Linked DNA regions of Diceros bicornis minor. The protein of the gene in region 3 interacts with the protein of the main gene of each other region in a biochemical or structural test. Links are inferred from orthologs where the notes say so. Each region holds a gene or a part of one and is shown on either strand. Other genes may lie near its edges. The genes, in order: BTK, USF1 and GTF2I.

What was found.
Region 1: the proteins of GTF2I (region 3) and BTK form a complex in vitro, tested with the Homo sapiens proteins (4 studies listed by BioGRID and IntAct, with this or other methods). The link is inferred for Diceros bicornis minor from reciprocal best matches to the Homo sapiens genes GTF2I and BTK.
Region 2: the proteins of GTF2I (region 3) and USF1 form a complex in vitro, tested with the Homo sapiens proteins (2 studies listed by BioGRID). The link is inferred for Diceros bicornis minor from reciprocal best matches to the Homo sapiens genes GTF2I and USF1.

Annotation. Positions count from the first base shown.
Region 1 is NC_080781.1:94,497,206-94,504,953, forward strand, and holds the start of BTK (tyrosine-protein kinase BTK), read right to left. Parts: upstream 3,330-7,748; 5' UTR 3,183-3,329; intron 1-3,182. Other genes in the region: RPL36A (large ribosomal subunit protein eL42), read left to right, coding at 6,948-7,058, 7,477-7,582. UniProt on the Homo sapiens protein: Non-receptor tyrosine kinase indispensable for B lymphocyte development, differentiation and signaling. Binding of antigen to the B-cell antigen receptor (BCR) triggers signaling that ultimately leads to B-cell activation.
Region 2 is NC_080743.1:67,634,895-67,642,877, forward strand, and holds the start of USF1 (upstream stimulatory factor 1), read right to left. Parts: upstream 3,103-7,983; 5' UTR 2,992-3,102; intron 2,562-2,991; exon of another isoform or gene 2,222-2,561; intron 2,164-2,221; exon of another isoform or gene 2,039-2,163; intron 1,268-2,038; 5' UTR 1,183-1,267; coding exon 1,175-1,182; intron 784-1,174; coding exon 734-783; intron 571-733; coding exon 455-570; intron 115-454; coding exon 13-114; intron 1-12. Other genes in the region: ARHGAP30 (rho GTPase-activating protein 30), read right to left, coding at 4,895-6,532, 6,623-6,888, 7,874-7,983.
Region 3 is NC_080765.1:1,771,787-1,779,226, forward strand, and holds the start of GTF2I (general transcription factor II-I), read right to left. Parts: upstream 3,097-7,440; 5' UTR 2,156-3,096; coding exon 2,146-2,155; intron 1-2,145. UniProt on the Homo sapiens protein: Interacts with the basal transcription machinery by coordinating the formation of a multiprotein complex at the C-FOS promoter, and linking specific signal responsive activator complexes.

The DNA.
Region 1 (7,748 bases), on a different chromosome or scaffold from region 3:
ACTTCTGGGTCTCTGTGATTCATCATCTCTTCTGCCCTGTACTAGAGACAATAGATTCTGGCCAAGTGATGATGAAAGAAGAGCCAGATAGCCAATCTGCAAGTTGACACTCTGCATCAGGTTGGTGGTAATACATTTGGCATCATCTCTCTGCCCTGAGGGTGACTGCTGGGGTGTCCATCTTTCACTCTGAACTTATGTGTCCCTTTGACCTTCTTTTTCAGTTTAGTTTTTGCTTTCCCTGGATTAAATGTTTGTTTTTTCCTTCAGTATTAAAATAACACATGTTCATTATAGAAAATGTTTGAAGTACAGAAATACGAAAAATAAAGCATCAATTATAAGCTCATAATCCAGAGGCATTAATATTCGGGCATATTACTTTCCATTTTTTTCTGCGCATTTTTCTTATATTTGAGATCGTATTGCACATACTATTTGTAGTTTGCTTATTCTTCTTAACATTATCTATCTATCCATCCATCCATCCATCCATCTAACACTCATTTTCCCCCCAAATATTTAAAGTTCTTATTTAACACTATTTCTGATTATTTTCCCATGATATTAGGATCTCTATATAAGCATCATTTACCAAGTCAAAAAGTATGTGCATTTTGCATTTTGAAACATAGTGACAAAATAGTTTCCAGAAACATTGCACTAATTTCTACTTCGAATAGCAGTTTTTGAGAGCCTGCTTTCCCCACGCCTTTATCTCTTATCTGCTCCATTTCTAATCAGTTTTTTACTCTGTTTTTATTGCAGACGAATCTGTTTTTTCATTGAGCCAGTGATCTTGAAGTCCAGTACCTTCCAACCTCCAACTTGTCTGAAATTTAACTTCTCTTGACTCCCTAGAATTTCCTTCTTCTAGGGATGAGCTAATAGACTATGGTTCATTTTCATTTCAGGGAGGCAAGATAGTGAACTGAGCTTCTCCTTGAGGGTCAGATAACCAACATTAACCCTATGGGCATCTGGTGATGGCTCTCAGAGAGTGAGGAGGAAAGCCTGGGGTTAAGGCTTTTGTGTTTCCAGCGCTCTCTGTACACCCTCGGTCAGTGCACACGAACCTCCAGAGAAACTGAAAGTCACACGTGGCCCATTTGTTTCAGGGTCCTCAGAGGAGTTCTCCCTCCCCCTCCCTTGATGGCTTCATTTGCATAACCAAGCAGCTTTGGAGTGAATTAGGTCAAGGTCTCCTCTCTAGCTGCTTGTTGAGCACTGCCTCACTGAAAATTCTAGCTCTGCCTTATTCCCAAGAGTTAGCAATCACATCTCGGCATCACTGGGCGAAAAGCAGCAGGTATCTGATGACTCTTTGGAGAACACTCAAAGTGGTTTTCAAAAGCCATATCTTCCCCTTATACCTAAGTCACTTCCTGGTATGGGTCTAGTACACTGAAAGGAAACTCACTATAGGAAATTTGCTCAAATGGAAATAGTAAATCATAGTGATGATAATTTAAAATTACACCAAGAGCCCAGAGGTGGATGGAAAGTTGCACTAGTTCACACCGTAAGGAGTTTACAGAGGATTCTAAACAAACACATAACCAGCCATAAGCAACAGGAATTTGGACTGTAACACAAGCAGATAGTTTAAATAGTCTGAATATAAAAAGGGTCAGGATAGAGCCAATAGGGCTAGCCCTAAGGGATATTGCTTCGGTAGAATGCTTTAGGTTCCATGAGTATTTGCATTTTGTGGCTTATTTGGAGGGTGAGATTGTTTTATCACATAACAGGCTCCAGAGAGGCTGTAGTACCCTTGGTTCAGGGGTTTGGCATGCAAAATGAGGGAAGGAGCAGAACTAGCATAAAACTAACAGCGCAGAGGACAGCCTCTGAGCTGCAGAGACCCCTGCCTCTGGGCTTTGCTGCTGCCCTGCTTCTGGAAATGCACAGAATAGGATAGAGACCTTGAGCTTGGAGAGCTGGGTGGCCAGGAAACTGGACCAGGATTCTATCTGGAAGTCCAGCAACTCATCCAAGGATGTCTTGATCAGGGCCAGCAATCCCTTTTATTCTAAATGCCACACTATTTGCTCTAGGCAGGCCCTCTGGGGATACTGGCAGGTCTCAGGCAGTACAAAAATAATAGCAAACCTTGAGATATTAGCACTTACTATTGCCAGGCCCCGTTTTAACTGCTTTTACATGTATTAACACACTTGCTGCTCACAACTATCCTACGGGGAGCGTACTAGGCAAGTCGGGGGAAAGGGAAAAGGGGAAAGATCAGGGGAAGAAAGGGGCAAGAACAATTCAACGCAATTCAACGATGATTTATTAAGCACTGACTCTGTTCTAGGGGATGTGGTAATGAACAAAATAAAGGAGGAAATAAAGAAGAGAGGATATAGGTAGAGAAAGGAGGGAGAGGAGGATGAGGAGAAGGAGGAGGTGGATGGAGAGGAGGAGAGGAGAGGAAAAGAGAGGAGAAATGATGAAGACAAGAGAAGAAAAAGCCGTGCACATGGCAGGCAATGGTAATAGGAAAAACCTTCCCCATGACCTCAGGGGTTGGCCACACTGTCTGGGCTGAGGCTGAGGCTGCTTTCTTCTGGCCAAGTCTCTTACCCACTATTACCACGAGGTTGGCGCATACAATGCTTCCAACAAGCCAGCTTTGATCCTGGCAACAGTGGCCCAAGGCAGCCTGAGGCAGGTGGCCTACACCCTGGTTTGGCCGGTGCCTTTCCCCAGTTTACAAAGGTAACGGCCTATTGCGGCATGTGAGCTTTTACGGTTTTCTCAGACAATCTGCCTCTTTGAATTTCTTCTAAGGGCCTCATTGATACAAGTATACATTTTGGGTCTTCAAGCAATATTTGACCAAAGGGCTTATTTTTATCCTACTGCCACCGGCGGTATTACTTTTCTGCCAAGTTTTGCAGAGGTGACCCACTCCAACTTTTGCTACATGTTCAGATGGTCACCTCATGTCACTTTTTTCTTTTTGTTCCCCCCACACCCTCCTCAGAAAGGACCCTTACAGTCCCTTCTGATCATCGGAATGGGCCGCCAGGGCCTTGTGCTGATGACACTCCCACCCTCCGTCAGCCTCCTCAGCCAGCAGACTACATGGCACCAGCCATGCTTTCTCTCTGGCCTTCAGGGATCCCATGAAAGCTACTTGCTGCTGCTGCCCAGCCCCTGCCATGCCCCAGACCCACCTCAGTCCTGACTTAATGCAGGTTGCTTCCCAGATGCATTGAGATGCCAGGACTTTGAAGGTGGGACTCGATCTCAGAAGACACTGGCCCTGGAGACATATTCTTACAGTCCAGAGAGGAAGGACAGTCTGAGCAAACCCCACCCTTTCACAGCCACTCAGTTCCCTTTTTTTGTTTCCTGACTTAAACCAATGTCTTTTTTTTTCTTCTTCTCAGCAGCATGGTATCTGGTTCCCTGCTGCTGTCCCTATTCCACCCCCCAGCTGTCCCCGCCCTTCATTTGCTTGGGACCTCTGACACTACTATCTTGAGTCCGCTCTGAAAGAACGCTTCTCAACATTACTGAGGCCACTGAGACTCTAGATGGGGTTTGTTTGAGCAGACAGGTCGTCAGGCTGACCTCCCCGAGATAAAGGGACGACACACCTAAAGGACTGTGAGGATGGTCAGCACAGGGAGTGGAGACTTACAGGAAAGAGGAGAAATGCAGACCTGCAAAGACAAAACAAAGGGACCAAAGAGGAAGAGTGTCTTTAGAGTCTCATGTCCTCTAAGGCAGAGCAGACTCGGGGTCTCAGAGTGAAACTTGATAGTGAAAGATGGAGTGCTCATGAAGGGACCCCAAAGTACAGAGCCTGACAGAGGTAGAGACAAGACTTCCCCCTGCTGAGTCATTTTCTAAGAAAGCATTTTTTCTACAGATAAAAATGTCTGAATGTGAGCCCACGCAAAGACTTGTGCCCTTCCCCATTTTCTGTGGATGTTGATTTTCTCCATTTAAGATTCTGCCTCAGGGATTAACTCTTAATTTACACCTTTCCCTTTAATCCTGTAAAGCGATAAACCAGACAAGGTATGTTTCTTGAAGCCTGAATGTTTCCTCAGCCACCTCCTAGCCTATGTTCTAGCAGCAATCTTCTCCCGGAGGATTCTCCTAGGAAATGTAGACACCACTGGCAGAGCCCCTGGTGACTGATCTGCTTGCCCACCTTGACACATCAGGCACTGCCATCTTTACTTGCCCCAGGCACTGTATCCAAATGTAGAATCAGATCACAGATCTCACTAGAAATCCATCAGAAGTTTTCAGGCAACGTGCTTTTTTTAAAAGGCATTTTGTAGCATAGTGAGTGGTTAATCCTCACCTCTGCACAAGATAGATAGGCAGCAAGTGTTGCAGGATCTTCCTATTTCACTGACAATTTTTCACTAGCCACCCCCTGAACAGCTGCTCCAATCACCTGCCTGAGAGTTGGTCACAGACATTTGCCTTCCCTCCCCTTTTCTTTAGTTAGATGCTACTTGTTGTCACATGCCTTGGCCCTTCTCAAGGTCCATCTTGGGGTGGAGACTGGGAATTGATAGGCATACAATGGGGGATCTGGACAAGGGAGAACAAGACAAGGGAAAGGGGAAAGTAAACCTAGGCACTTCTTCACTCTCTGCCCATGAGCAATCTCCTACACACTTGGCTAGATGACAGAAGGACTGAACCCAAATAGAGCAAATGGATGGCCTAGTGTCGCCTCAAAAGATTCCCGATGTAATATAAGGTTCTATTCTTGGTGCTATCCTGTTCAACATTTTTATTAATGACCTTTGAGGAAGATACAGCAAGTAGCCTAACTAATCCATGAATGGCCCAAGGCTGTTGTGAGCTAGACTGGATGACAAAACCAGAGCAATCAGTTTCCAAAAGATCTTGATCACCTGGTGTGATAAGCCAACTTCAACGAAGTGTAATTTACCAGGGCTAAGGGTCATATCCCATCTCATAACTGGGCACCGGACATTGAACTTCAAAGGACTCCAGGTGAAAATGAGATAGCAGTAGCATTTGGGAAAATGGTTCAGAGGTTTTTGCTGATAGTAATCAAGAGAAATGTCATGTCAGTAACATGGCTGCCAGAAAAATCCAAGGTGATATTAGGCTTCCTTATAGAAGTAAAATATGTAGACAAAGGTAAGTGAACAGGCCACTTACTCTGCAAGGCCAGGTCATATCTAGATCCTGTGTTCAGTTCTGAGTACCTCTTCTCAGGGGAAATTAATGAGCAGGAGCATGTCCAAAACAGAGACCAGGATTGGTGAAGGGAATCAAAACCAAAGTCATGTGACACGAGGTGTGATAGAAAGAACTAAGATTGATTAGACTAAGAGGGGTCATGTTCATTGTCTTCATATTTCCATGTTACTAACATCAAAAACCTCTACAAACATCTCAAAGGCCAGTGAGACTGCCTAAGAGCCTGGAAAGAAGAAGAAAATGCTGTGAGACTATGGGCTGGCTGTTTGGCAGAGAAACTTTTAGGAAATACAGCAGGTAGTGGTAATGCTTTTATTATCTTTTTCCCAGAGACCATCCAACAAAAAGGGGATGATCAGAGAATCAGCTCTGGACCCATGGGTGTTCCTGGAGGGTTATGCAAGCAGGAGACCTCAGGTTTTCAAAGTTCCTTAACCCATAATCCACTGGCACCTCCTCCTCCATCTATGCTCAATTCTCTCTCCTCATCATCCTATACCCTGCAGATGCCCTGCTTCCCCTGTGTGATATCACAGTTAAGTGCAAGGCTGTGGTGTTAGTTATCTGGGATCAAATTCCAGCTCCACAAAATAACCACCTGTGTGACTTTGGATAAAGGAACTTAATACCTCTTGTGCCTCAGTTTCCTCACCTGTTAAATAATAATAATGGTACATGGGGTAGTATGTAAGGTGATTAGGAAAATTCCTGGCATATAATAAGTGCTCAATAATTAGCTATTAGCTATTAATTAGCTATTACAATTACCAGGCCACAAAAGCCATACTGTATAATGGTAAAGGAACCCAGGCTCTGGAGTCAGATCACCTGTGTTTGTATCCTGGCTCCACTAAATACTATCACACTGGGAAAATCGTTTAACAGCCTACAGTCTCAATTTCCTCATCTGTAAAATGGGAATAATAGTACCACCTACCTCCTAGAATTACTGTGAGAATTCTATGAGAGAATCCATTTTAAATGCTCAGTACCCTGCAGTCTTTCTCTGCTGGACTCTCTTGAAACCTAGCGCATGCCTTCTGCCAGGTATGGAGGGAAGGGAAGAGCTGCTGGATATTTTCTATCTCTTGGCCTGATTACTGCTATTGCAGGAGCTGAACAATTTCATTGTATCTTTTCAGAACTTAGAGCAGCCAACTTGCTCCCTCAACAAAAGGGGGCTGCTTTAATGCTGATCATTACTCCTTCTTTACAAAGTACTTAGTCTGTAATAACACATTTACGAGCATGAGCGTGATTATTTGATTATTGTATCCCTTCCCTAGAACAGTGCTTGCCACAAAATAGGCATTCGATAAACATTTGTTGAACAGACCAGCTGGCCATGTGATTGATGAACTAGAGCACTGACTTCCTCCAAGCCTTCAGTGAACCAGCAGTTCGCTGTGAAAGATGTTCCCAGTGTCCTTGAAGTGGAACAGGAATGGAAGATGGAGGTGGAGGGCCCCTCCACTAGACCCTAGTCCTGGCTTCCCTCAGGGATAGGGACAGGGAGGCCGGAGGGTCTGGAAAGGGCACTGCTTCCTTCACTTAACGCTGCTACGCAGCAGCTTCCCCAAAAGTGAAGAAGTCAGGAAAAGTTGCAAAGCTGGGGGGTGGGAGGAAGTCGAAGAGAACGGATCACCCTCAGGCTGACCCTTTCTTTAAGCTCCCGCCCACAGCTCCGAATCGAGTCCTCTCAGCCGACAGAGGGCGCTGCGCACAGAGCCTTAGACTCTATGGTCGCTCCCACCGACTCCCATGAGGAAGCGCGACCAGGAACCGCCTATATACTTCCGTTTCCAGCCCGGCCTCTTTCTTTCTGTGCCGATAGCGCTCTCGCAAACATGGTAGGACTTTGGTGTGGGGCCAGGGTAACATCCAGGTTAATCTTTCCACTCCCGGCGACGGTGTCGTCCCGGGATGGGTCCAGGCCCTTGCGTGGACTCATTGTACCAAAGAAACTCAATGTTGCCGGGATCGACCTCGAAGGGGCCAGGCTTTGGGGCCAGGAATTGAATTGATGGGCTAGAGAGGTAGACTTACCTGGGGGTGGAGTGACTGCGCTGTCCTTCCGCTGGGAGACTCGGCGGAGGGCACTCTGCTGGAAGCACATGGGGCTGGACCACTTTCTGGTCAGCGTTGTGTGTTAGCGAGGAGTTGGAGAGTCGAGTCCTCGTAGGATGCCTTGGCGGCAGCTGGGTCGGGTAGGGCGTTGTGCTATTGGCGTCTGATAACACTGCCTGTTCTGAACGGTTCATTTACTAGGTGAACGTTCCGAAAACCCGCCGGACTTTCTGTAAGAAGTGTGGCAAGCACCAACCCCACAAAGTGACACAGTACAAGAAGGGCAAGGATTCTCTGTATGCCCAGGGTAAGACGATCTGTACGTAATTTGGTTTTAATGTGGCGTTTATGTAGTGGTATAATATACGAGTGTAGTTTTTTCCCCAGGCTTGGGCATTAATAATTCTGATGGAAAGCCCAAGATAAAACCCGCAAGAAGACTTTTCCATGTGGCTGTTGTGATTTATGTTCTT
Region 2 (7,983 bases), on a different chromosome or scaffold from region 3:
ATACCCTTGTACCTGGGTCATAGATTGAGTGGCAGGGTAGCCACTGATGGCGCCAGTCCCCTCAGTCTGGCCATCCAGCTGCCCCTCAGACACCTGGATTACCCTGTACATCACCTAGAAGCAGGGAGGAAAGGGGAAGGAGAGGAAGAGAGAATAAGAGAGTAAGTGCTGGAGATCTCAGGGCCCCTCATAAAGCTTCTTGAGTAGGGTCCCAAAACAAGAGTCCTTCAGAGACATAGATTCAGCCATTTCCCCTTCTTTATCCATACAGAGGTTTCAGCATAGCCCCTACCCCACCCCAATCTCTACTCCAAACCTCTTACTCTAAGTCACCCCACCAACAGTCCACATTTTCACCTCATCCTCCAAGCCAGGTCTCCCCACGACAGGTTTGATTACCTCCCTCAATCCCAACCCCAGGTAACACCTGCAGCCACCTGGCCCCCTCCCTTACCTGGCCCCCATTCTCAGTTCGGAAGACGTACTTGACGTTGGGGTCAGGGAAAGTGGCAGCTGACTGGATGCTGGCGATAGCCACACTGGTGGGGTCCTCCCCAGTTGCCACCGCACCTGAATTAAAAGAGCAAAAGAAAAGTCTGTGAGTTACTGCCTTTCTCCCTCTGTTCCACTTGCATGTCATTCAAAAGGAGAAGGGTGCACAGGAGATGGGCCGATGGGGGAGGGGGAGAGGCCACGATGGGCTCTTGGTCTCAGGTCTGTTTCTACCACTCACCTTCCTGAATCTGCACTGTCCCCTCTTCCGTTTCAGCTGTTTTCTGCTGCCTGTTTGTGAAGGGACAAAAGGAAGAATAAGGGGAGAAGTGAAAGAAAAGCTCACTGGCCCAGTAACATATGGCTCCCAAACTCATTGGCATTCCCACTAGATGTAGGTTAGGTTAGAAAAACAGGTAGTATTTCCTGAGTGTTTACTGTGTACATGGGCACTAGCTAAGCACTTAACAGGCACTATCTTACTGAATACTAAGAACAGCACGAGGAGGTAGGTAGTGCTACTTGCATTTTATAGATGGGAAACCAAATCACCCAGCTAGTAAGTGATGGAGCTAGGGCCTGAATCTAGGTCTGCCTGACTTCAGAGCCAGTGCTCTTAGGCATTTTGTATTCTCCCAGGCCTCCCATCTCCCATCCCAGACCCTACCTCTTCTTCACTCACCCCTTCATCTCTCTGTAAGGGGGTACATCCGAGGAACTGGTCCTTCTTTGGAAGTCTTCGTATCTCCTGCCTCTCAGACCTGAGTGCTAAGTCCTGGTAGAAATCAGGGAGTCTGCAGTGAGTCTAGGAAACTGAACAGCCCCTGTTTCTAGAACCTTGGCTCCATGCAGACACAGCCAGGAACATAACCCAATCATCTGCAGGGGACAGTCAGCTTCCTCCATTATGATGCTGAGGGCTACAGTGATTGAAAAAGCAACTCTACAAACAGTGTTCTTCACCCCTCCGTTATCACCCAACTCCTGGTGGAGAGGGGATAATTATACTGGAAAACTGAGAAACAACGTATTTCGGCATGAATTATTATTAAAGCTTTTATGATCTGCCATATCATGGGGATTAGGAAGGACCATGTTTAGACCACCACTGTCTATGAGACCTTGGGCCTCATTCCCCATTCTACTGACAGGGCTCTAGTTTTGGGGTGTCCAGATTTATGTCATTTGTTAAAGACCCTAAAGCCCAAGTGTATCATCTTCAAGCCTTCTATTTTATTCACCGAGCCTTCCTGTAGAACAACACAGTTGCTAAAATGTTGCCATGACAACTCCAAATCAACTGAGCCTCAGCAAGAAGTGAAAAAACTCCAGGCTCAGGGTTTCGAAGAAGAGACAATGGGGGAGGAATCCATCTACAAGGTGCCTGCCTTAGGACCCTGACACCCAACCAGAGGACAGGAAAAACCAAGGGCCGAGCAGATATGCCTCCGAAAGAAACAGCTACATAGTACAAAGCAATAAGGTAATCCCGACACGAAAGAGGTGAGATTTTTTTTAAGTTCTCTACCCATAAAGTCCCCCAAACCTTTCTTATTCAAGGAAAATCTTCAGCAGATGAGCCTTGGAAAGCCCGTATCCAAAGAAAGTGTTAACCGAAAAAAAAAAGGGGGGGGGGGGGACTGAAAGTGAAACTGTCCGGAGGAAGTAGCGTTGCAAGAAGATCCCAGTCCGCAAGGGGAAGTAGCACTAGCGTTTCGGGACCACCTACCTCTCCATCCTCAAACCTGCGGAGGAAGTGCCCCTCCAGACCTGACGCGCTGCCTGCAGGAGGAGGCAATGAAAGAGGGCAGGGCACAGGAGGCTTCTCTATTGCCCACAGCTGTCAGCTAGGAGCAGCTTCTGGGTGAGGACACCCAGCAACGGGGTTAGGCTACTTATTCAAATCTTAGTTGGACATCCGGAAGCATTTTCTGAGCATTAGGGATATGCGACACGGAAACCGGGATAGGATGTTGTGGCGTGCACCCTCAGGCGAGGGAAGGCCCAGCCAGAGTCCTTGCTAAGGGTGGACACAAAGGGAAAAATACTCAAGTCTCGAAAGAAGTCAGGCGCCTAGATCTTGCCTGAGAATGCGCCGTCTCCCTGCAGGCCCACCAACCAGCAGGCGCTTAGCCGCTGACCGGCGGCCAGGCGCGATCCCGGGAGCCCACGCCGTGACACGGCCAGCCCCGCTGCGCTCACCCCGCGCCCGCGCTGCTCCGCAGAGGAGGCAGGAAAGCCAGCCCCGGGCTCGGCGGCCCCGGGGTCCCCGGCCCGCGGCTGGCAGCGCAGGAGGGCGGGGACGTGCGCGCTCGGGGGCGGGGAGTGAGTTCGGCCCACAAAGAGGGGTAGGAGGTAAAGAACCGGGCACGGCCCCGTCCCTCAAAACAAAGGCTTCCTCCCCAGGAGTGCCCTAACCTGAAAAACTGAAACAAAATCAAGGTTGCCCCGCCCTGCCGGCGCATCCAGTCTCCAGACTCCGTCCGGTCCTGCACTCACCGGCCACGGCCGCCCCAGCCGCCAATTTTCCCGGACCGTGTTCTCCCTCTCCGGACCTGGGTATCTCCATGAACAGCTGCTCATGCGCACTTCCAGCCCGTGGCCATGTTGGTGAGGGGCGGAAGTGTCTCGGTTGACCCGCCCAGCCCACTGAGCCTCTGAGCCGCACCACTTCCGTTCGCTCCATCTTGATAGGGGCTGTAGGTGCGGAGTTGGGGGCGTCTCTGGGGTCGGGAAGAAGCAATTTGCCGGGACCGTGGGGGGAATGACGCTGAAGGCCTGGTCTGTTTCGGCAAGAACGGGAGAAAGTCGACTAAGTTGTGCTGTCTTTCTGCTGGACACGGCCATTTTAGTTCAAGGAAAAAGGAATGAGAGGCCAGCTTAGAGCAAGGGAGGGACGTCGGACGGAGGCGCCATCTTTAACAAGGGCTATTTGGGAGGCCATCTTGGATCAGGACACCTTTTTGAAGTGTCTCCTATTGGAAATTAGGACATATCTAGGCATACATAGATCTGGGCGTGCTCCTTTGTATTAGCGTCAGCAATCACTCTCCCAGAGACCTCCAAGGCCTTCAGTTTTTGTGACGCTCAGTTTCTGTGAGAGGTATCCTTATTCCCATTCTTCTCAGTCAGGACCTACCCTTAATGGATTTGGAGTAGTGTGGTGTAATGGGAAGAGTTCAGACTCTGGAGTTCAGTCTCTGGAGCGAGATAAACTCGGGTCTCAGACCTTTCTCTGCCACTTCTTACCTCTGAGATCTTTGGCAAACCTTTGACTTAATTAGCTTTAGTTTCCTCACCTGTAAAGTGGAGGTACCAGTACCAACCTTACAGAATTGTTAGGTGGACTGAATAAAATCAAGGGCATAGATTCTATGCACGTAGACTACCTAGCCTTTACTGGCACATAATGAGCATTATGTAAATATAAGTTTCTCTTCCCCATTTCCTCACCACCATGAACCCAGCTCTAGTTTCTAGCCACAGGTCTCCATGACAACAACTGAGGAAGAGCAGACAAACAACAAAAGTAGAAGACAACGATTGGCCAAACTTATGAAAATGTGATACCTATCACCGGAGACTTTAATAAGAATAATGAGACTTCACACTATTTACATGTAAAAGTACAACTTTTATTCTGAGACATCACCCCTTACTAGAATGGGACCTGTAGCCCCAGCCTATCTGGAGAAGCAGTCCCAGAGCCTTAGTGACTCCATTTCCCTTCCCTGAAATAGGAGGAAGTTATTCCAAAGGAAAAAGGAGAGGCCAGAGAGATCTGTACAGGACCTCTCATCCTTAATGTGACCAGAGGCAGAGAGTGGCGGGGCTGGAAAGGGGGTCAGTCCCTCCAACAAACACCGAGGGCTTCAAAGAGCTTTCTGGACATGTTCCTCCTAGTGTGGAGCTAAGAGGGTCAGGAGGTATCCAAGAGCCCAAGAGCAGAACAACGATGGGAAGCTCTAGAACTGTTTGGGTGTAATAGGCTCTGACCTGGCCCTGTCCTCCCCACCTCCACCCTGGGCTTGCATGAAGAGAAGTTCACAGCCTCAGAGGAGGGCAGGAACTTCGCTGGAGTTCCCCCTTCTTTCTTCACTTTGAGAAACCTCTAAGTTTTCTGCCTGCTCTTTGTTCCCTTTGGCCAATGACCTCACTCCCTGGGAACAGGATCTTGGTGACTTGCTTGGGAATCTCCTAAGGGATAAGTGCTTTGTGTCTGAGACAAGCTCAGGTAAACCAACCAAGGCAGTGCCTCCCACAGTCAAAAAGAGAAGCTGGAGGGCCAAAGCCTATAGAGTTGGGCACTATAGCTGCTCGGGCTGCAGAAGAGACAGCTAGTCAGGGACCCCAGAGATTCAAGACAACTTACTGTCCCCTTTGCCCAGTGCTCTGGTCCTAATCACAGTCTCTCACCTTTCCCAGGGTTAGCCTGTGTTTCAAATGCATAGGATCGGCGCTGGGGGGGTGTAAGGGGGTCAGGGGGCTGTGGTTCTCTGGGGGGAAGACTAAGCCGACTCCGGGGTCCAGACCCTTCTGTGCCTTCAGATTGGAGTTCCAGGCAGCTAAAGGGCCGAAGAGAATGAGCAGGGATCATGCTACAGGGGGAGGTTCTGGGGTTGAGGCTGTAGTCCTCACTCCCAGTACAGGTCTGGGTCCGCCGAATTCCCTGAGCCTCAGTCCTCTGGCGGTCCCGGGCCAGGGCCACAGCAGCATCAAAGGAAAGACTGCCCCCATTCCTCCAAGAGGATCGGGAGGCTCGGGACCCCCAAGCCCTTTCCCGAGGAGTCCCATCAAGCCGGCCAGGCCTCGGGCATGGGTTTGCAGGTGCCACATGGATCTTGCTACACATTGCACTGGGCATCTTGGCGAACTGTGGTTTGGGGGGCACCACAGGCACAGAGCGGACCTGTTGGACCTGAACCAAGGTGGAAGCCAGGCGCATGCCCACACCTCCAGCTGAGCCAAAGGGACAGGGGCACAGATTGCAGCCCTCTGGACTGGGCTGCCCCTCAGGCTCCATCTCTTCTGGCCGGGGTGGCTGTGGGACTGCCTGTTCTGTCTCAGAGGACTGGGCATTGCCCTCTTTGGCACTATCAACCTCCAGGGACTCTACATGTGACCCTTCAGGGAGGGAGGCCTCTTCTAAATGGTCACCTCCAGCCCTCTGGTCTCCCTCAGCCTCTCCATCCCCACTCTCTCGTTCCTTGCTCACCTCCCCTACTCCTCCTTCAGCTGCTGCGTCCGGGCTCTTGCTATCTTCACCATCTCCTTGGTCTTCTCTTGCCTCTTGGTCCCCATCCCCGCTCTGTCCCTTGACCTCATCCTCTCTGCCTCCGACAGCTTCTTGTTTGTGGACGACTTCCCAGCTCTCCTCAGCAACTTGGTTTTCGCGGGCCCTGTGCTCTGGGTCCCTTCCAGCTTCTACCTGGGCTTCCTCTCCTTCCTTAGCCTCTTCCTCTCTCTCAGTCTTTCTTTCCTTCTCCTTGTCTTTACCTTGCCTTCCTCCTACTTCCTCTACACTCTTAGCTTCTTCCATACTCTCATCCTCCCACTGACCCTTGGACTCCTCTCTCTTGGCCTCTTTCTCTTCCCCACTCTCTTCTCTCAAGTGGGCCATCATCTCTTGGCTTCCCCTAGCTTCCCCTTCTTTCTCACCAGCCTCTCCATCCTCCACCTCACTCTCTGGACTCCCCTCAGCCTCCTCCCTGATATCCCATCTGCTTCCAGGCTCAGCCTCTGTATCCTCTCCAACTTCCCAGCATGCCTGCTCTCCCTCAGCCTTTCCTAGAGCCTCCTGTCTTTCACACGCTGCTACCTCTTCTTCCAGACTGCCTGGACCCTCCCAGGTTGGGGATTTGGGCCCCAGAAGGGGACTTAGGTCATCATAGGCACTCAGGAAGACTTCCTCCCCACTTTCTTCCTCTGCTTCGGGCCCCGGGTCAACAGAGTCCAGGGAACAGCAGCTGGGAGCCAGGACAAACTGCGCCTCATCCAGAGACAGGTCATCCAGGGGCGGCTCCACGGAGAACTCCTCCACCTGTAGACACACATTATGGCTCAGGACCAGGTGGCCCTGTCCACCCTCTGGATTCTTACCACCCCCAAACCCAGCACAGCTCCTCCTTACCTGAGGCCCAACTCCCAGGAGCTCCTCCAGGTAGCCCATCCCAGGGTCGTCCTCCCCAGGGGAGAAGGCTGCTCCTGCTGCTCCTGCCTTGGCTACCTCCCCATCCTCCGCCCCCACCCACTCCGGCTCTGAGCTGCTTGAGTCCTCTAGGAAGGAGAAGGAATCCTGCACCTCCTGGGACAGGCAGTCCTCCAGGGCAGGGGCCACGTCCGCTGGGCCTGAGTCAGCCAGGGGACCTGGGACTGGACTTGCCTCCGACTTCTCATCTGTTGAGAGAGAGGTGTCCCAGGAATACAAAGGTCAAGACCAGCCCTGACCCTTTCCAATGTGGGTCTTCCTAGCATTGCTACAATATGGCCCTGGTACTCCCAGCATAGATGCTCCATGTGGCTGATCCTTTCAGACCAATATCCCTAACTATTGGCTCATAGCTGCCTTTACTGAGCTCCCACCAGGTGCCAAGCACCTTGCTATATATTTTACAATGCATCATCTTATTTCCCCCACAAAACAACCCTATAATATAGGGGTTTTATCCCCATGTTACATTTGAGAAAGCTGAGACTCAGAGAGATTTGTCTAAGATCACAAAAACAGTAAGTGGCACAGCCAAAATTTCAACTCAAGTCTGCTTAACTCTGTAGCCCACATCCTTACCCACTACCCTGTGCTGCCTTGGTACTTCTCATCAGTGACACTTCAGGAACCGGAGTCAGAGCAAAGATCAGATCCCACCTCCACCACCTCCTACCTAAATTAATAGCAAATTGCTTAACCTAGGTCTCAGGTTCCACTGCTGTAACATAAGGATAACCACCATACCTGTGTGATGAGATTATGAGAAAATGAAATAAGCTAATGCCTGCGAAGTCCTTAACACAGCACTTGGCTCATAGTAAGCCCTTGATAATTGTTAGCTATTAGTATTAATGTTATTATTGTTATTACCATCATCTATTATATATTCCCACCTTGTACTTAGTAATCCCTGCTATATGTGTCTGACACAGACCCCCATTCTTGGGTATATCAGTGATCTGAAGGCTGCCAGAGATCCTCTCCCCATGAATTTCACACAATCTGATAATATTACTGGATTCCCCCAACCTCAAATCCAGGGAGGCAGTTGAAAGTAAACTTCAGCCCCAGGGCTGAGGCCTCTGCCCTTCCCAGGGCAGATCCCCAGCATCAGAGCTTCAGCCTAGAGTTCTAGTCCCCTCTCCTAATCCTGGGTATTCCTTGGGTCCTCACCTGGGGGGCCGGGGCCACGGCCAGGGCCAGAGGCAGGGCTTGTCCGGGGCTGTAGGGCGGGGCACTCAAGGCCACGAGTGAGCCTGGCCAAGGAGACGTTCGAGATGATG
Region 3 (7,440 bases):
GAAATTCATAGAGACAGAAGGTAGAATGGTGGGTGCAGGTACTAGGCGAGGCGGGAATGGGGATTATTGTTTAATAGGCAGTTTCAGTTTAAGAAAAGGAAGAAGTCCTGGAGATGGATAGTGTCATGCTTGCGCAACAATGTAACTGTACAAACTGTGCACTTAAAAATGGTTAAAATGTGGGGCAGCCCAGTGGTACAGGGATTAAGTTCAAGTGTTCTGCTTCGGAGGCCCGGGGTTCCCCAGTTCGGACCCTGGCCGTGGACCTACTCAACACTCATCAAGCCATGCTGAGGTGCGTCCCACATAGAAGACCTACAACTCTACAACTGTGATACACAACTACGTACTGGGGCTTTGGGGAGAAAAAAGAAAAAGAGGAAGATTTGCAACACATGTTAGCATAGGGCCAATCTTCCCCCCCCCCAAAAAAAATGGTTAAAAGGTAAGTTTTGTGTTCTGTATATTTTACAATTTTTAAAAAAAAATCACTGCCAGGAACCACCTGAAAAAAAGAGCTGTTTATGTGGAAATGGCAGGCACAAATTTATTTTTCACAAAGGGACAAGCTCATCTTACATGGGTTTTCTATGCTATTGAGCGATTTGTTCAGATCCATCCAAATTCTTCAGCCCCAAGGAAAGCATTAAAAACAATGACCCAGGCCGGCCCGTGGTGTAGCAGTTAAGTGCGCGAGTTCCGCGAGTTCCGCTGCTGGAGGCCCGGTTCGGATCCCGGGTGCGCACCGGCGCACTGCTTGTCCAGCCATGCTGAGGCGGCGTCCCACAGAGTGGAAGTAGAAGGACCTACAACTAGGATGTACAACTATGTACTGGGGCTTTGGGGAGGAAAAAAAAAAAAAAAAAAAAGAGGCAGATTGGCACAGATGTTAGCTCAGGGCCAATCTCATGTTTTCAACCGAGAATGAAACAATAGCAGAATTCAATTAGGTGGAATGCAATGCAAATAGCTAGTCACCAGTACTAACAGAAAAAGTTAAGTGTTTAGTAATTTTTCAATGTTTTATTTACCACTCCTTTAGATAATAACCTGCAGTAGGGACTTTGTCTTTTATGTTTTGGAACACATCATCGATCTATGGATCATCAAAAGTGATAGAACATAACTGGAAACTAATCCCATTCCTCCTACCTAATTTGAAATTACTTTCCCCAGAAAGAAATTCATTATTGGGGCCAGCCCCGTGGCCTAGCGGTTGCGTGCTCGTGCTCCACTGCTGGCGGCCCGGGGCTTGGGTCCTGGTGCGCACCAACCCACTGCTTGTGGAGGCATGCTGTGGCAGCGTCCCACGTAAAGTGGAGGAAGATGGGCACAGATGTTAGCCCAGGGCCAGTCTTCCTCAGCAAAAAAAAAAAGGAGACTTGGCAGATGTTAGCACAAGGCTGAGCTTCCTCACAAAAAAAAAAAAAAAAAGACTTGTGCCCCAAGAAAAAAAACTGGAAAGCCTACATTTTAACGACAAAGTCTTTGTAGTCTTTTTTTTTTTTTTTTTTTTTTTTTTGCTGAAGATGACTCACCCTGAGCTAACATCTGTGCCAATCTTCCTCTATTCTGTATGGCCACCGATGAGTGGTCCAGGTTCACACTGGGTACAGAACCTGGGCCCCCAAAGCTGAGCCTGACGAATTTAACAAGGCTGGCCCCTGTAGTCCGTAGTCTTAAAACTAAGCCAAATCATTGGAGGTGCACAGGGCTGGGGGGGTGTGGTTCTGAGCTCTGGCTGCTCTGCCTGCCACAGCCTGGCCCAACCTCAGTGCCTCAGTGCCAAGCTCAAGCCCCATCACTCCTTCCAGGTTCCTAGACCTTAGATTTCGTGGTGGGGATGGGAAGCTCTATGTATCTCTAGGAGGAGATAAATGCCTGTGCCATGAATAAATTAATAAATGAATGAGAGTGGGGGAAAGAAAAACCTAGTTATTTATAGTTCGAGTTTTATTCTGTACTTAAACCCATGGCTATTTATTAAACTTTTAATTTTGTAATCATGGCTAACAAAAATTTTTAACTTTCAAGTCAGTTTTCCAAGCAATCTAGTTAGCAGTCCAAATTATTTTTGGTTAAGATCTAGTTCTAAAGTAATGAAAAGCAAACATCTACAATAAATTTCCCTCACTTATAACTTACTTTGCACCATAGTAAGCAGTCCTTAGAGCACCAGCAGCAGCAGCACATGGGAACTAGTAAGAAATGCAAGTTACCCGGCCCCACCCCAAACCTGCAGAATCAGAATGTCTGGGGCAGGGCCCAGCAATCGTGTTTTAACAAGTGCTCTAGGGGATGCTGATGAGTCTGAGAACCACTGGCTCAGGAATTCAAGAGTCCTCCTGCCTAGGTTCAAATCTTAGAGTCAAGGTCTACTTGCTTGGTAACGAAGACTAAATTACCCAGCTTCCTATACTTATTCTTCATCTATCAAATGAAATTACCGGCTTGTTCTGAAGAGATTAAATAAGAAAATATAGGCGCCGGCCTGGTGGTTTAGCGGTTAAGTTCGCTCTCTCCCCTTCGGCGGTGCCCCGCGGTCCCCAGTTTCGGTCCTGGACGCGGACCTACACAGTGGTCATCAAGCCATGCTGAGGCGGCGCCCCACACAGAAGAACCTACAACTAGGATATACAACTATGTACTGGGGCTTTGGGGAGAAAAAAGGAAAAAAAGGCAGATTGGCACAGATGTTAGCTCAGTGCCAATCTTCCTCAAAAAAAAAGAAAACATAATACGTTAACTGCTTAAAAGAAATGCGAGCACATAAGAACCACTCAAATGCTGGCTGTGGTTACTACTATATACGCACGGCCTCCTGACGGGTGTAGACTGCAAGAGGGAGAAAGGCAAGGCAGAAAAGGCTTACTGCCTACCCACCCAACAGTTAAATACCTAGTGACCATGCCAGACACGTGTACACAAAGCAAAACCAAACACACACTTAGAGGAAGTAAAGACGCCCGCCTCGGAGGGGAGAGCAAGTTGATTTGGACACTGTAGGGAGAAATAACCAATTCTGACCGAACAATATGAGACGGCTTTAACAGTGACTCCAAGAAAGAGTTCCACGACTTAAAGAGAAGAAAAAGTCATGCCAGCCTACAGGCGTGCGCCAGGATCCCAAGACGCAGACGAAACGAAGAGCGCAGGGCAGCAGACCGCCGCGGCTGGAGACGGAACAAAGCAAAACAGTGCAGCAGGAAATAAGATCAGTCTCCCCCATCGGAGGCCTGCGCCTGGGGACGAGGCCGGCCCGGGCCGCGCCACGGCACGCTCTCGTTTGCACACTAACTTCCCCTTGTCTCCCGAGCCCCCGCGACGACCTTCCCGCACAGCGGCCGCGGGAGAGCCGCCATCCGCAGCGGCGGAAGTGTGCGCGGAGCCCGCACTCGCAGGCGCGGGCCGGCCCACGGGACGCGACGTCAACCCCGCGCCGGAGCCTCCCCGCGGAAAAACGGCCGCTCCACAGCGGAGAAACTCGGGGGAGGGCGGCGGAGGGCGGGAGAGGAAGGAGGGCCGCTTTTTGTCTTCCTCGTCTCCTGAAACCCCGTCTGGGCGCTGGCCGAAGCCACGCGGCCTATTTTCGCGGTCCGCAGGCCGAGGCTTTCCTTCCGGTCATTGTGCGGCTTCCCCCCCAGAGCAGGCCCCGCGGGGCAGGCGCGCCGGCCGCGCCGGGACAAAGCCCGCTCCGTCTCCACCTGGGCGCGGGCGGGGCGGGGGCGGCGCTCGGGGCCGCCGGCAGTTACCAGGCAGCCGGCACCGCCCCGCCGCCCGCCGGCCAATCCGGCGCGTCTGCCGCCGGGCGCACGAGCCCCGGAGACACCCGGCCGAGCGCGACCCCACGGCTCGGGCCTGGCACCGCGCGCGCCCCCGCACCGCGCGCCGGCCAATCAGCGCCGGGCATGCGCACCCGCGGGCTCGCGCGGGGCTCACGCGGGAGCCCCCCCGCAGCGGCGCCCCTCCCCCGCGCGCGTGCAACTGCCGTGCCCGCGACCGCGGCCGCCCCACCCCCACGCCGGGCCCGGGGCCCCACGCGGCCGCCGCCGGCCCCCGACCCCTGTCCGTGGCGCCCCGGAGGGGGCGAGGCCCAAGTCAAGGCCCCGTGCGCGAGGCAGCCGGGGCGGGGCGGGGGTGAGGCGCCAGGGACTCACCCGACTGCAGCCGCCTCCAGGCAGCGCCGGGGCCGGGGAGCCGAAGGGCAGCGGGTGCGGGCCGCGCTGCTGCGGCCGCGGCGGAGAGCCTCGGTCTGAGGCGAGCTGGCGAGCGCGCAGGAGGTTGGAGGGCGAGGGCCGTGCGTCTCGGCCGAGCTCCTGTCACCGCCGCATGGCCGCCCCAGTAGGGCCTCGCTCAGCGCCGAGATCGCTCACAGGGGACCGAGGGAGAGGCCGGGGCAACCGCGGCAGGCGGAAGGCCACGGTTAGACAGCGCGTGCGGCGAAGCGGGGGGGCGACCGGTGGCCCCTTTTCTCTGCTCTCAGAGCTTGTCTCTCACCCTCCTCCTCTTTTTTTTTTTTGTTCCTCGAAGGCGCGCTGCGCGTGCGCACCCGCAGCGCCGCCCAGCGGGAATTGTAGTTTCCGATTCGTCCCCACCAACGCGACGGCGGGGGCGGTGGACTACGACTCCCAGGAAGCCTCGCGCCGGCGAGCCCCGAGCCGGAGGACGCGGCGAGCGCGGCGCCCGGCCCTCTCCGGCAAGGACTGTCAATGGAGGCGCGGGTGGTGGGAGCAAGAACATGGCTGCACCTGGGGCCTGCGCGGCCGCCGTGTGGGGGAGGGGAGCGGGGCGCAGGGGCACAGATCCAGGCCGGGGGTGGCTCCAGCGGGCCTCAGCCATGGTGCAGGGCTCGCACTAACTCGTGCCCCCGAGATTGCTTGCAAATTGCTAGGCCGGAATACGGCAAAGTCGGGGCGCCCCAGGCCCTCTGCCACCCTCGGTGCCCCGCCAAGGCACTTCCTCCACCCTGCACCACCCTCTGGGACACAAAGAACTGTCCCTTTTGAAAGCATGCCTCCAACGCCGCCGCAAGAGACCGTTGCTCCAACTTGGACGGGCCCGGGGAGGGGACTCTTCTGTTTTTATGTACCACCCCCCCCACCCCCGGCTTTGCTCACGCGCCGTCTCTCACTCAACATTTAGAAGGAAAGTGGAGGAAAAGCCACGGAGTGCGAGCAGAAAACCTGATTTGTCGCCCGTTCTGTTCTGTTAACCGCTAAGCAATTTTACTCAAACCCCTCCCTCGGTCATTTTTTTGCCTCTCAATTTGCGTTAGCTCGTGAATTTCGAAAATAGACGTTACTGTTCACCGAAGTTAAACTCAAAAGTTTGAGAAACTCGAGCCCAGAGAGTTTAGATGTTTAGGTAAAGCACAAAATCGAATGATCCTGTGATTTTTTTTCCCCACCGGAGATTCGGGCCACGCCGGCACCCCACCCCCACCCGCCCTCGGTAGGTGGCGACCACGGCACTTTTTCCAGCCTCCCGGTCTTTGTCGCTCGAAATAAAACTTTGCGAGCAGCCAGTCTTTTGATGTAAGTTCAAAACCTTTCCTTTGAATTTGGGTTCACGGATTGGCGTTCCCCGTCTTCTTTCTTCCATAGACTGCACTCATGAAGCCTCACCTAGAATTTCCATGTTGGATTTCTTTAAAATAAATGGAAAATTTAAAGATCACTGCGAGGCAATGTGATGACAGAAGACTTCTACTTTTTTATGATTTCCCCTGCAATCTTTTACAGTCATTTTGGGCTCACCTAATTCGATTGTGACTTATCAAGTCTCTCTACAGCATTAATTTAGTTTTCATAAGAACAGTGTTCTTTTTGCACTCATATTTCATTAACGTTTTGGAATATTTAATTGAATTCCATATTCCCAATACCAAGTACAACTGACATATATTCAGGAGCAAGTGTAACTCTTGAGAAGCCTACAACTTAGCTGGTAAGAGCTGCCAGCCTACAAGCTGCAAACGTTCAGCTGCTGTAGACATGGGTGAGTATGTTTTCTTGGAAAGACTGGGAGGTTAAGGACAGTGAAAGGAGGATTCACAGGGTGCAGTGGAGTCGTGGAGTAGCACTGGAAGGGTGTTAGCAAGTAAGTTAGGAAGGCAAGAATTATTTAGTCCAGATTACCCTTGTCATCCTTAAAAACTTATTTGGGAGGCAGTCCCTTTCTTCTATGAATTTAACAGTTCAGAGTGAATTTTTTTTTAATTTAATTTTTTTTTCCCCCCCAAAGCCCCAGTAGATAGTTGTATGTCATAGGTGCACATCCTTCTAGTTGCTGTATGTGGGACGCGGCCTCAGCATGGCCAGAGAAGCGGTGTGTCGGTGCGCGCCCAGGATCCGAACCCAGGCCGCCAGCAGCGGAGCACGCGCACTTAACCGCTAAGCCATGGGGCCGGCCCCAGAGTGAAATTTTGCTGCTTCCTGGTGAACACCTCCAACTTCCTTGAAGTTGAAGCAGTTCCTAAAACTGTTAAATCCTAAAGCAGTTCTTAAAACTTCAGCTGGCTTTGAGTTGCCTGTAGACAGAAAGCTGGCCCTCTGGGGACAATGAACAGAGTGTGGTTTGAACAATGTATAGAGGCCAAGCTTTTTTCTCAGCGTACTACTGTTAATAGGTGTAACCCTCAAATTCTTGTCTTACAGTCATATAAAGATCATGCTTTTTCCATCTTTCTTAAGGCCTGGCTCACCACCTTGGCTGTAATTGGTACACTTGTTGCTATTCCTTAGCCAGTTTCTCCCTCCCATTGGTACAGATGGTATGATGCTAGATGCATTATGCTACATTAACTTGTTAACTACATTAACTACATTAACATAGCTATAAACCACTTGAATAACATCTTCCTGCAAAGCCAGTTGTTTTTCCAACATAATATCAGTTTGCTGTATTTTGGGTTGAGCAACAGATGAAAAAAAAAATCATTGATTTGTATTTAGGGATAGCATAGTATGGAATCCTCCTTTGTTTAGGTCACACTCAATGTAGCAAGATGCATGCACCAAGACAGATTGCAAGAAGAGCAGATTCACAGCTCGGCTCACGCTCATTTAAGATGTAAGCACACAGAGGCCAACAGCTGGCATAATCCTGCACGTTATTCATTTCAAATTGTTTCAAATAATTCTCTCTTTTTTTAATGTTTAACCTAGTGTATGCAATCCTGCAGATGAGTGTCCGTATAATATGACACCTCCATTCTACTGCATACTGTGGGAGACAAAGCCAAGTCAAATGGGCCTGGGCCAGGCTAGAGATGGATTTAGATCAAGTGTGAGCACTTCCACCAACTCAGATGCATCTTCACATAGACTCTGACCTTACAGCCTTGCTGACTGCTTTGAAATAGCAAGTGATGTGGTGATGTCTGAATGTCTTCACCAGGCCTGAAGAATAATCACCTTCTCCTTGAGTTTTCAATACTTG